Caenorhabditis elegans: one gene and its partner. The protein of the gene in region 2 interacts with the protein of the main gene of each other region in a pairwise test. Each region holds a gene or a part of one and is shown on either strand. Other genes may lie near its edges.

What was found. Proteins that work in one complex are often made in the same cells at the same time.
Region 1: the proteins of npp-19 (region 2) and dlat-1 interact in a two-hybrid assay, tested with the Caenorhabditis elegans proteins (one large-scale study listed by BioGRID).

What each region holds. Positions count from the first base shown.
Region 1 is NC_003283.11:14,444,166-14,450,260, forward strand, and holds dlat-1 (Dihydrolipoyllysine-residue acetyltransferase component of pyruvate dehydrogenase complex, mitochondrial), read right to left. Parts: upstream 3,126-6,095; 5' UTR 3,123-3,125; coding exon 2,909-3,122; intron 2,850-2,908; coding exon 2,123-2,849; intron 2,056-2,122; coding exon 1,603-2,055; intron 1,554-1,602; coding exon 1,424-1,553; 3' UTR 1,158-1,423; downstream 1-1,157. Other genes in the region: F23B12.4 (ShKT domain-containing protein), read left to right, coding at 500-575, 623-659, 714-864, 912-1,036; fntb-1 (Protein farnesyltransferase subunit beta), read left to right, coding at 3,577-3,663, 3,713-3,871, 3,918-4,229, 4,454-4,650, 4,785-5,053, 5,097-5,278; F23B12.7 (uncharacterized protein), read left to right, coding at 5,549-5,662, 5,715-6,095. UniProt on the Caenorhabditis elegans protein: The pyruvate dehydrogenase complex catalyzes the overall conversion of pyruvate to acetyl-CoA and CO(2).
Region 2 is NC_003280.10:10,795,179-10,800,923, reverse strand, and holds npp-19 (Nucleoporin NUP35), read left to right. Parts: upstream 1-2,444; 5' UTR 2,445-2,447; coding exon 2,448-2,521; intron 2,522-2,587; coding exon 2,588-2,661; intron 2,662-2,710; coding exon 2,711-2,983; intron 2,984-3,033; coding exon 3,034-3,425; intron 3,426-3,475; coding exon 3,476-3,660; intron 3,661-3,839; coding exon 3,840-3,906; intron 3,907-3,949; coding exon 3,950-4,030; 3' UTR 4,031-4,271; downstream 4,272-5,745. Other genes in the region: set-14 (SET domain-containing protein 14), read left to right, coding at 4,636-4,839, 4,894-5,255, 5,452-5,569, 5,624-5,745.

The DNA.
Region 1 (6,095 bases), on a different chromosome or scaffold from region 2:
GCCACCGTACCCGCAAGCGTTTTACTATTTTCTCCCTTCTGTATTTAAATTTTCAATTAATTTTATAAATGTTAAAACTATAAATTTCTTGAAAAATCATGAAAAACTCGCCAAATTTTGCAACAAAAAAAAACTAAATTCTTGGGTTACTGTAGCTGCGAAGGTTTGATAGTTTCGAGACCCGCTGGTGCATTATCTTTACGGCAAGGTATAATGTTTCAGTATTTATCTCAGTATTTTTTTTTTCAATTTCTGTTGTATTTGTATTCGTGGTAAGACCCATCGGAACAAATCTGTGTCCCTTTGAGAACGCGTTTCAGAAAATTTCGAAGCTACGATATTATTATTGAGTTGAATGAATGTGTTTTTTGAATTCTTGGAACATATTTTGAAAGCTCAGTTTTTGATTGATTTAGCATGTTGAGTGATGTCTGAGTTTTTCGGTTTCCGTGGTAGCGCGTTCATTTTCCTGTGTTCTAGTCCTAGTTGCCTTGTTCAGATGGCTTCCAACGTGGATCTTCTGGAGATGCTCAAGTGACTGCTGCACCGACAACACAAGCTACATTCACACAACAGTTCGTTTTTCACATATTGTAATGTCGGTAATATTGATTTTTTCCAGACCAACGTTCCAACAAACATTCCGACCAATTCCTGCGGTATTTTATATTTTCTTTTACTCTCTGATCTATATTATAATTGCAATTTTACAGCGTCCACGACAGCGAATTGTTGCTCAACAGCCACAATCTCCATTTAATCGTCAAAATGTGTTCATTTCAAGAAGACGTGGACAGAGTAACAGTTTTGCTGCTCAGCGGCAAAATGTATTCCAGCAGCCACAGCCGGCTTTCGGTGGCGGACGTATGTTTCTAGATCTAGGATATTGTCGAATCTTTTTGAATCTTCAGAATGCGCTGATCGTGATCCTCAAGGAAGATGCAGTCAGTGGCGTCAGTTCTGTGCTTCACCATCCCATCAGCAATACTTAACGGCGTTCTGCGCAAGAACATGCGGACTGTGTCGTCGTCATTGAATTCGTTTCTTGAAGCATATTGTTTCCTAGGGTCTCTCAACATTTTGCTCACTATTACTAAAGATCCGCTAGGCTTTTCCAAACACACTACGAGTTTCTGAAATTTCTGTATGACAGACAAAAATAATAAATCATTTTTTAAAGGAAACTTCTTCTAATAATTCACTTACACATACTACCGGAGAAATTAAACGATTAACTGGGAAACATGCCATGAAAAATGAGAAAAATAAAAGCGAAAATGGCTGTAGTGAAGAAAGAAAGAAATAATAAAATTATGACCTAGTTATACGCTATCACTTCGAGACTTTACGGAGTAAATTCGGGGGTCAAAATGGGTAGAGGAAGATGGTGAGATGAATTGGGAAACAATGAAAAAGCCATCGTTTAGAGAAGCATCGTGTGTGGCTTCTCGAGGAACTCCTTGAAGTGACGAAGCCAGACGGCTCCAACAGCTCCATCAACAGTCCTGTGATCGCATGACAATGTTACCTTCATAGTCTTAATCTTCTTATATCTGAAATACAAAAACTATATAACTCGATAAATTTCCTAAAAACTCTTACCCTTCAGCCTCGTCTGGGACCAGCTTATCAGATGCTCCTCCGATAGCCAAAATGCATGATTGTGGTGGGTTGATGATCGCGGTGAAATCAGATACAGATCCGAACATTCCGAGGTTCGAGACGGTGAAAGTACCTCCTTGGAACTCATGAGGCTGCAATTTTCCTTCGCGTGCTCTTTGCGCCAATTCTACAATTTCTGAGGCAATCGTGGCGAGTCCCTTAGCGTGAGCATTGAAGATAATTGGAGTAATAAGACCGGCTGGGGTGCTGACAGCTACAGAAACATCGACGTGATGATTCTCACGAATGAACGAGTCCATCCAATAGCTGTTGGCTTCTGGAACTCGTTGACATGCAAGAGCAGAAGCTTTGATGATAAAGTCATTGATTGAGATCTTAGTGGCTTGTCCCGATGTTCCCTTTGCAAGAAGACCGTTGAGCTTTTCACGAACCCTGAATAAGGGTAATTTTTGGAAAGGAAGACTCGGGTTTATTGTTTTAATAATTTAAGAAAACTCACTGAAGAAGTGTATCCAATTGAATTTCGCTGGTCAAATAATAATGTGGAATCGTTGATTTGCTTTCGGTGAGTCTCTTAGCAATTGTCTTACGCATGTTCGAAAGTGGAATATCGGTATAATCTTGACCAGATACGGCTTGAGTTGTGGTTGAAGTAGCGCCCTTTGCTGGAGCCTGGGAAAGATCCGAAGCGAGAATACGTCCTCCTGGTCCACTTCCAGAAACTCCGCTCAAGTCAAGGCCATTTTCAGCAGCAAGTTTCTTAGCGAACGGTGAAGCAGAAACTCTTCCCGATGATGAGTGTGGAATTGGTGCGGACTTTGGAACTGATGGTGCTTGATACATTTGTGCTGGGGGAGATGGTTGCGATGAAGCGGCTGGTTTTGCTGGCTCTGGAGCTTTCTCGGCTGCTGGAGCGGATCCACCAGATGAAGCACCATCGTCCTTGAAATCCTTGAAGGCAGCAACGTCAGCCTCGTTGTCGACGATAATACAGAGAAGCTTGCCAATTGGAACATCCTTCGATCCTTCCTGGATGAGAATCTTGGCAAGATATCCTTCTTCCGGAGTTTCGAATCCCATAGTGGCCTTATCGGTTTCAATCTCGCAGAGCAAATCTCCTTCACTAAGTTGATCTCCTTCTTTTTTCTGCCAGCTTACAACAGTTCCGAGTTCCATAGTTGGAGAAAGTGCTGGGAGAGCTACCCGATTGTGCTTTGGCAGATTTCCTGAAAAAAGGAATTAGTGGACAACCAGTTGGAAAATATAAATAGGAAAAAAGTCTCACCACTGCTATAAAGGCGAACTTGTTTAATACTGAAAGCTGCAGCATTTGGATATTGGCGAGCTACTTGTCCAACAAGTCCTGAGCTTTTGGCGGCAGCTCCGGTGCTGAGGGCCCGACTCGATTGTGTGAAACCGATGTTGGCGGCAGAAATAGCTGCTGTTGTCGAGGGACGAAGCCCACCAATCGTTCTCAACGGCACCGGGAACTTCGACATTACCTGAATATTTTTCAGTTTAAACAAAATTATACTTGTAAGAAAACGTAGAAATAAGATATTTAATACACATTTGCAAACAACAATAAAGAATATAAAATTGTAAAGTTATTAAATTTTAAATGGAATGAAAAGCTAATTTACAAGAAAACTTTATCATCTTTCTGCATACTCGCCTGATTTTCGTAGAGTTTTTGTTGCAATAACTGATTAAAAACTTTATCACAGACTGATAAAACGTCAGAATTCCTGATCAGAAAAGAGTGTTCAGAAAAATGAGAAAAGAAAAAATTAGACGGGGACAACGACACTCCGTTTTAAACACGCGCGCCTTGTTTATCACACCGATTTTTTTTTATTTTCGCGACGAAAAAAAATGTTTTTGATAGGTTTTCCCAAGAGAAGTGTGTTTTCTAATGTGTTCTTTTTGTAAAAATTGTATTTTATAACAGAGATGACATCTTCGATCCCATTCCGTTCGTTCAACGAGAAATATGAGTGTAACGACGATGATAATTTCACCTACTCAAGCACTGAACAGGTTTGTAACCCCGCCATGTAATTATCATGTACGATTATGAGTATTTCAGAAACGTATTGAAACAATGCTTTTCGAAAACTACAATTCACTGGTGTTAGAACCATTCAAGACCACAAGCGACGAAGATCTCGCCGAATTGACGATTTTCCGTCAGAAACATGCCTCGTATTTGCTCAGATATCTCAAAAACTGCCCGTCGAGCTACGCAGTAAGTTTGATTTGTGAGAAGTGGTTTTTAACATTACAATTTTTAGACCTTAGACGCTAGTCGTTCATGGATGTGCTACTGGGGAGTTAATGCACTTAAAATTTTGGACGCAGAAATTCCAAACGATGTTATCGAAAACATTATTGTTTTTCTTAAATCTTGTGAACATCCAGAAGGTGGCTATGGTGGAGGACCAGGACAATTGGCTCATTTGGCTCCAACGTATGCCGCTGTCATGTGCCTAGTGTCTCTACAAAAAGAAGAAGCTCTACGATCTATCAACAGAGTCACACTGTTCAATTTTTTGAAGAAGTGCAAGCATGAGAGCGGAGGATTTTATATGCACGAGGGAGGAGAGGTAATAATTTATTAATGAATATCTCTGGCAATGGTTCAAAAGCTCTAAATGTACTGAAACTCCTGCATAGACTTGATGAAGTCCTACTCAGAGTGAAACTTCTACGTACTCTTGCATAGAACTTTAGGATCCTTGCTGCACACTCTACGAATTGCCTCTAGTGTTGTTTTTTTTGCCAGAGATATCATAAAAATTCTGAGCTATCGAAAATTGAACATTTCCAGATCGATATGAGAAGCGCCTACTGTGCACTAGCAACATGCGAGATTGTGGGCCTACCTATGGATGAGATATCAAATGGTGTGGCCGAATGGATTATCAGCTGCCAGAGCTTTGAAGGTGGTTTCGGAGGAGAACCGTATACAGAGGCACACGGAGGATACACTTTCTGCGCGGTCGCCTCGTTGGTTCTGTTAAACAGGTCAGTTATTGTTATCTTTGAAAATGAGAAGAGACAGACCATCACGTGAACACCACATGTTCTTTCTTATAAAATCATATCAATTAAGTTAGTTCAGAATTTGAAATAAGATCATTGATCCTGATGATTTCCAGATTCCGTCTTGCTGATATGGAAGGTCTCCTTCGTTGGGCCACGCGCCGGCAGATGCGATTTGAGGGTGGTTTCCAGGGAAGAACAAATAAACTTGTTGATGGATGCTACAGCTTCTGGCAAGGTGCCATCTTCCCACTTTTGGACGGAGAAATGGAACGAGAAGGCCGATCATTGGAGAAAGGTCTTTTCGAGGCGCGAATGCTTGAAGAGTACATTCTTGTTGGATGCCAATCAGTACATGGAGGATTCAAGGATAAGCCGGACAAGCGTAAGATCCAGTTTTTATAACTAAAAATGACTTCAATTTTCAGCCGTCGACCTGTACCATACATGCTACGTTCTCTCAGGATTATCAGTTGCTCAGAAGTACTCTCTCGCTCGCGATGGGAAAATACTTGGTGGTGATGTTAACATGCTTGCTGAAATTAATCCAGTTTTCAACGTGACCATTGCTTCTGAACAATTTGCCAAGGAGTTCTTCACTTCTCATTGATCGTTCGATATGTATCCTTTCAATATGATTTCATTCGTTAATCTCGCTTCTTAAAGACGTCCCATATACGAGTTTCTTAATTCATATTTGCCTAAATTATGTTTTCCACCCGATTTTTTAAATATTTTTGTATAAAGTTGTAACAAAATTTTGTTTTCTGCTTCAAAAATTTCATAACAAGTTAACTTTCTCTAAGTATTTATTTTATGTCAATGTGCTATATTTATTAAACTGTATTTTTAAACAATTTAAGATTATTCATTGTCAGTAATGAAGCTGAAAAAACGTCCAATGAAGCTGGCGGCGAAACCAAAGCCGAAGCAGCCAACGGAGAAGCTGGGAAAAGCACAGAAGATGAAGCTGAAAGAAGATAATTTGGCTAGCGTGAGTGATTTTTTGTTTTTGAATTTTTAATTAATAAAATTATTCTTTACAGGCGGAAAAGATTATGGCTCAATTTGAGAGCGGTGCCGTGCACACGAACAAGAAGAAGCAAGCACAAAATGGAGCAGCCAAGCCGGTGGCCCATAAACCTGCGAACCCGGAAAACTCTAATCAGAAACGTCAATTCAAGAAAATTCTTGGACAAGATGGTATTCTAGTTAAACATCAAGAAGGAACCAAATGGTATAGCTATCAAATCGATCATGTTCATGATGAAAAGACCGAAAAAATGAATGCATCGGAGATTCAAAAGCTTCTTGAAGAGGGAAAGGATGAGATGGCTCAAGATGCAGCTCTGCTCCAGACGAAGGAGAAACAAGATAATGGATCTGAAGCTTCGTGGTTGTATTCAGTGATTTCAAAGGGAACAGCT
Region 2 (5,745 bases):
TACTTAGGTTGGCATGATCTAGGCAAGTCAGGCGAGAAGCATATAGTAGGCGAATAGTTAGGCAGGTATGAAGTAGGCGTGTAGAAACATATATAGGCATAAGGTTTGAGTGTAGGCAGGCAGGCATGACGTAGGCGTCGAACTGTTTCCGTTTACCTATGCTCATTCCAAATGACAAGTGAGATCTCCCAGCTTCATAGAAATTCAGATCATTCCATCAGTAGTATAATCCCCATTGACTCGTTTATTATAAAAACTCAGAGACCACTAATAAATAAGATGCAAATCTCATTTTAAAATGCTCTTTTTCATTCCGTTTTTTTTCTTTTGATTCGAAGGGAAATATAATTATGGAAATGGCCGAGAAATGTATATAGTGTTGTAAAGGAGCAACTTTGTCTTAAATATAGAATTTACAATTAATATTAATTTCGGTGGCCTGAGACAAAATGTGATTATGAAAATGTTGAGCTTTCAATTCTATTAGCGCTGCACACGTTTCCATTTTTAGAACTCATTAAAAATCTCAAAAGCATTGAGAAGAGATAGAGAAAAAAGAAAACATCATCATCATCATCAACACATCCTGTAGAGTGCTTTTAAAAGGAAAGAAGAGAGGAAGAAAAATGTGAAAAAGAAGCGTCGAGAGCAACTTGTTGAGTGAGTGAGGGGGGCACAGAAGGATCACATCCAATTAGGATTGAATGAATGCTGTCGTACACACAAGAAAGTGGAATGGAACGATGAGTAGAATAAAAAAAGAAAAATGATGGAAAGGGATGCACTTGGGACACATTGCCGAAAAAAAAACGAATCGTTGCTATAATGTTCTTCCGCTAGTCTTCATAGATCCCGTTGCCAGGTGACCTCGTCTCCAAAAACTTTCTTAAATTTCGAAATCGGAGAATGTGTACTCCACGAGAAGAAGAGTGTGCGAAAATTGCAAATTTTGCAACCTCCGCACGGTTATGAGAATGAGAGCTCAATGAACCTTGCGGAGGTTGCAAAATCTGCAAGTTCCGCACGGTTATGTGGGTGTGGCCAATACCATCGTTTTCTATTCTCAATTTCTGTTATTACGTGGTAGTCTAAAGATGAAAGTTTTCGGGTCTCACCACGCTGAAATTGGGTTACTGTAACTGGACCAATATTGTGCCATTTTTAATATTATATTCAAATTCTTGACAGCAATTTTCGATTAAATCTGAAAATTATGATACTATGCTACCCGTAAATGGAGACGAGTTACAGTAACTCGGCGTGGCGAGACCTAAGATTTTACGAAATTTTCCCAATTTTGACGTCTACGTAATAATTCCCTCTATCCCAAAATTTGTTTTGTAACAGTACGGAAATTGTAATTTCCGTACGGTTTTATGGGAATCACAGTTTGAAAGTTTCAGTTCAAAAATCAAAATCTCATCTTCTAAGAGGCGGGGCGAAAACACCAAATTTGACGCGCAAGTTTGACTACATCATCAGGTCGCCACTTCTGCTCCAGTCAGAACCAACCACATTTTCTGAAAATAAATTACATCCGGTTCGGTCCGAAAACTAATATTAAATACAATTTTCATTCAATTCATCATCTTTTGGTTTTTTTTCTTTCTCATTTTGACCAACCCGCAAATATTATACGACACAGGGGGCTATATAGTCGTGCGCGACGAAACATTTTTCTTTCCCAAAAAAGGAATGAATTCTCATTTTATTTGATGAAGAGGCGGGAAGAAGCTCTCCGAACGTTGTGCTCTGTGTGGTCAACAAAAAAAGGTCGACGACACAGAAAAGGAATTTAATTAAATGGGGGACCCCGTCGTCGTGCATTTCTCAATTTTCTCCGTTTTTTTTTGCAATTAAAACGAGGAGGAGTGAGAAGAAACGAGTGGTGCTCGTTGAAATTTGAAAACGAAAATTAGACGAGGGAGTAGGTCAAAGGGAAATAAAAACAAAAACATCTGAAATGTGTAATTAAATTTCTAGAATTTTTTAGAATTCAATATTTTATGGATAGGTATGTACTATAGGGGTCGGCGGTATTATACAGTAACCCATACACGAATTTCACTTTTTTCAGTGTCTAGTGTTGAAGAAAAAAAATCAAAGTTCAAACAGAAAATCGACTTCATCAAAATTACAAAACATCCGATCAGAGAAAAAAAATTTTCTCTTTATTTCCCGCAGAAAACCTCCCAGCAAACTTTCACCACAAAAACCCTATTTTAAACTCCCTCCATTTTCAAGTCCGCAATTGCGCGTAGCTTTGCGTGTTTTGTCGTTGCGGACTTTGATTTTTCAAACAAAAATGTTTTTTCTTGGAACTTTTCGAACCTGTTTTCCACTTTAAAAAAGCGGTATTTTTCAATTCTTTCTTTATTTTAAATTTGAAAAACTTGTTTATTGCTTAAATTTTTAATTAAAAAGCATTTTATTTCGAAATTCAGGCCATGTTCTCGCATCTTAACCAAAATACATCCGGAAGGCATAACTCAATGGATCTCAACAATTCTAGTATTTCAAAGTGAGTAATTTGTTTCTTATTTTGCAAAAAAAAAACCAGTTTTTAATACTAAAAATCTAATTTTAGCTTCGGGACACCAGTTGAACAGTCTACGCCGGCACTTCTTTTCGGAAAGCGAAAGGCAACTGTTCCATCTTCGTGTAAGTAAAGTTTATCTTAAGTTTTCTCAAAAATATGATAATTATTTAGACACCGCTAGCCCGCTCAACACTGCATCGGCACCATGTTCGGATATTTTCGCTGTTTCTGCACCGGCAGTGCCGCAGCATTTGAAGGATACACCGGGCTCTAAATCAGTTCATTGGTCTCCATCTTTGGTGCAATCTGGTGAAAAGTCGGCGGCACAAACACAGAATACACCTGCCAACTTGTCTTTCGGAGGAAATTCATCATTTTCGGCGCCGACAAAGCCAGCTCCTCAGTCGATTCAGACATCATCTTTCGGTGGTCAAGCGATGCATGGTTAGAATTTACATTTTTTCGCGAATATTTAAAATAAAATTGATTTTCAGCACCACCTCTTCGATCTCTTCGCGACAAAGTTGAACCAGCGAAAAAGATCTCCAGACGAAATACATTCACTGCCAGATCAACACCACTTTCCACTCCAATCACTCAACGAGTCACATCCAGGTTGGCTGAAGCAGAAGAACAACCAATGGAAGAAGAAGCCGACGCAGCTGATACCTGGGTCACTGTTTTTGGATTTCAGCCAAGCCAAGTGTCGATTTTGTTGAATTTATTCTCGCGGCACGGGGAAGTAGTTAGTCATCAGACTCCATCAAAAGGAAACTTCATACATATGCGCTATTCGTGTGTCACACACGCTCAACAAGCTATTTCTCGAAACGGAACTCTCCTCGATCAGGATACATTTATTGGAGTCGTTCAGTGCACAAATAAGGTAAGTAAAAAGGATATATTTATTTTTTATTTTAATTTTAAAATTTACAGGACGTGATCAACGGCTCAGCATCCGGAATTGTTGCTCGATCATCTAACATTGCTGCAGCTGCAAACCGATCTGCTTCCATGTATAACTCATTTGTGGAGAACGATATGGCCGATCAATCAGTTAATCACAATGAGAACAGTGTGCTCAACTCGTCGAATGTTTTTGATGCAAATAACTCGCTCAAGTATGATTAGAAATTTTTAGTAAAAAATTCATAAAAATCTAAATTTTATACTTGAATCTGCTAAAGCGAAGTTTGTAGTTTGTAGTCTAGCGCTACTCCACTTTGAAAATGTGAAAAAGAAAAAGTTAATTTTTCACAATTCAATTAATATTTCCACAAAAAATTGTTTATGTTTTCAGTTCTTCTCGTATTTCCGTCCGTTCTGGTGTCGGAATGAGACCATTGGCTGCCGATCAAAGAACAAACGTAAGCATTTCATTGATTCAATCCTTCTAACCAATTAAAAAAGATTTTACAGGGAACCCCATCGGTTCGCAAGGCACCTGACGGATTGCTCAACAAGTTCTGGAACACGATCGGACTCAACTAATCTTTTTGCTCATTGGAAATATCGCCCATTTTTCTGTTTTATTTCACCATTTTTTTCTTTTGTTGTGTATCCTTCTTTTTCGAATTTCTGAAAACAGTTTCGTTTCTCACGGTTTTTCGTTCTCAAAATAATTTTATTTATTTCGGTGTATTCTCAATTTTCGGACATTTTTCCTTCCCTTCTTCCCGTCCATTCCATTCCCATTCAAAACTGATTCTATGAATTGAAATGAAGAAAACTCATATTTTTATATTGTCGATTATAGAAGACGAGTTGCTAATACTCGAAAAAAATATTTTTTCAAAAAATGAGGCTTTATTGACTGAAAAACATCGATTAAACAAATTCACTTCTATGAGTTTAAAGAAGGGCGCATTATTGCAGAATGGTCTCGGCACGAATGACATTGAAAATTGTGTGTGGGTGTGTGCCTTTAAAAATACTGTAGAGATTCTTTTATCGATTTTTCTCATTTTCTTCAATTTTTAATTTCAGAAAATTATTTACAATCGATGAAGTTTTTTTTAAATTTAATTTTTTTTATAAAATTTAATTTTAAAAAACCCGTTAAAAAAAAATTATTCAAATAATTCTTTCAGTTCCCAATGAATCTTCCCCCAGACGCCCTCCACGAAAATGTGTACGCATTTGCTCTTGCACGAGATCAAGTCGAATCATATTGTAATCAATGCCTTACGAGTATGGCAGAACTCAAAAAGTGCAGCGCCTGCCGACGGCTTGCTTATTGCTCACAAGAATGTCAAAGAGCTGACTGGAAGCTGCATAAAGTGGAGTGTAAAGCTATTAAAGTAGGAGATTTCATGGTTATATTACAATTTATTTCTAATATTTTCATATTTCAGACTCATAATGAAGTTGCGAACGACTCGATTCGACTCGTAATGAGAATTGCCGGAAAGTTGAGCAGAAACGAAGATGGAGAAATAGAAGCCTACTATATTCCGGGTGTTGCTCGCAATTTTCAAAATCTCGAGCATCATCCATCATCATATGACGCCGATGAAGAGTCTTTTGTAAAAGAATACTTTCAATTTGCGATAGCTCCCCATCCAGATCGAGATTTGATCAAATTGATATTCCAAAAAGTTTCGATAAATAGTTTTGTAGTTGGAAACTCCACGGGAAATCCAATCGGTGTTGGATTGTGCATTAAGCTGAGCGCAGCTAATCATTCCTGCAAACCATTGACTCGAGTTTGTTATAGGTAAATGCCATGAAATTTTTAGATTTTTAGGTTTTTGCCGACCGGCGCCGGTCTCGCCACGACAAGTTTCGGTTAAATTCAATTTTTCGTAGTTTCTAGGTATAAAATATAGTTATTTAATGTTTTTTAAACTTTTATAAAACGATAAAAAAACATAACAAATCGTGAGAGAAACTATGAAAATCCAATTTTACAGAAATCGTACCGCAATGCTGGTTCCAGTTTCAAGTGAACTTCCTTCAACACTGGAAGGTGCTTGTCATTCTTATATAGACGAACTAATGCCAAGAGATATGAGAAGAGATACATTAAAAGTAGGAGATTACAGGAGGTTCAACACACCCTGAAAAAAACCTCAAAATTTCCAGAAAAAATACAAATTCCTGTGCCAATGTGATGGTTGTCTTGATGAAGACCGAAACGCACGAATGGAAGCCTGGACTTGCGGGATTTGTGTGAAAGGATGGATGAGAAACAAGGAAAATGGTCA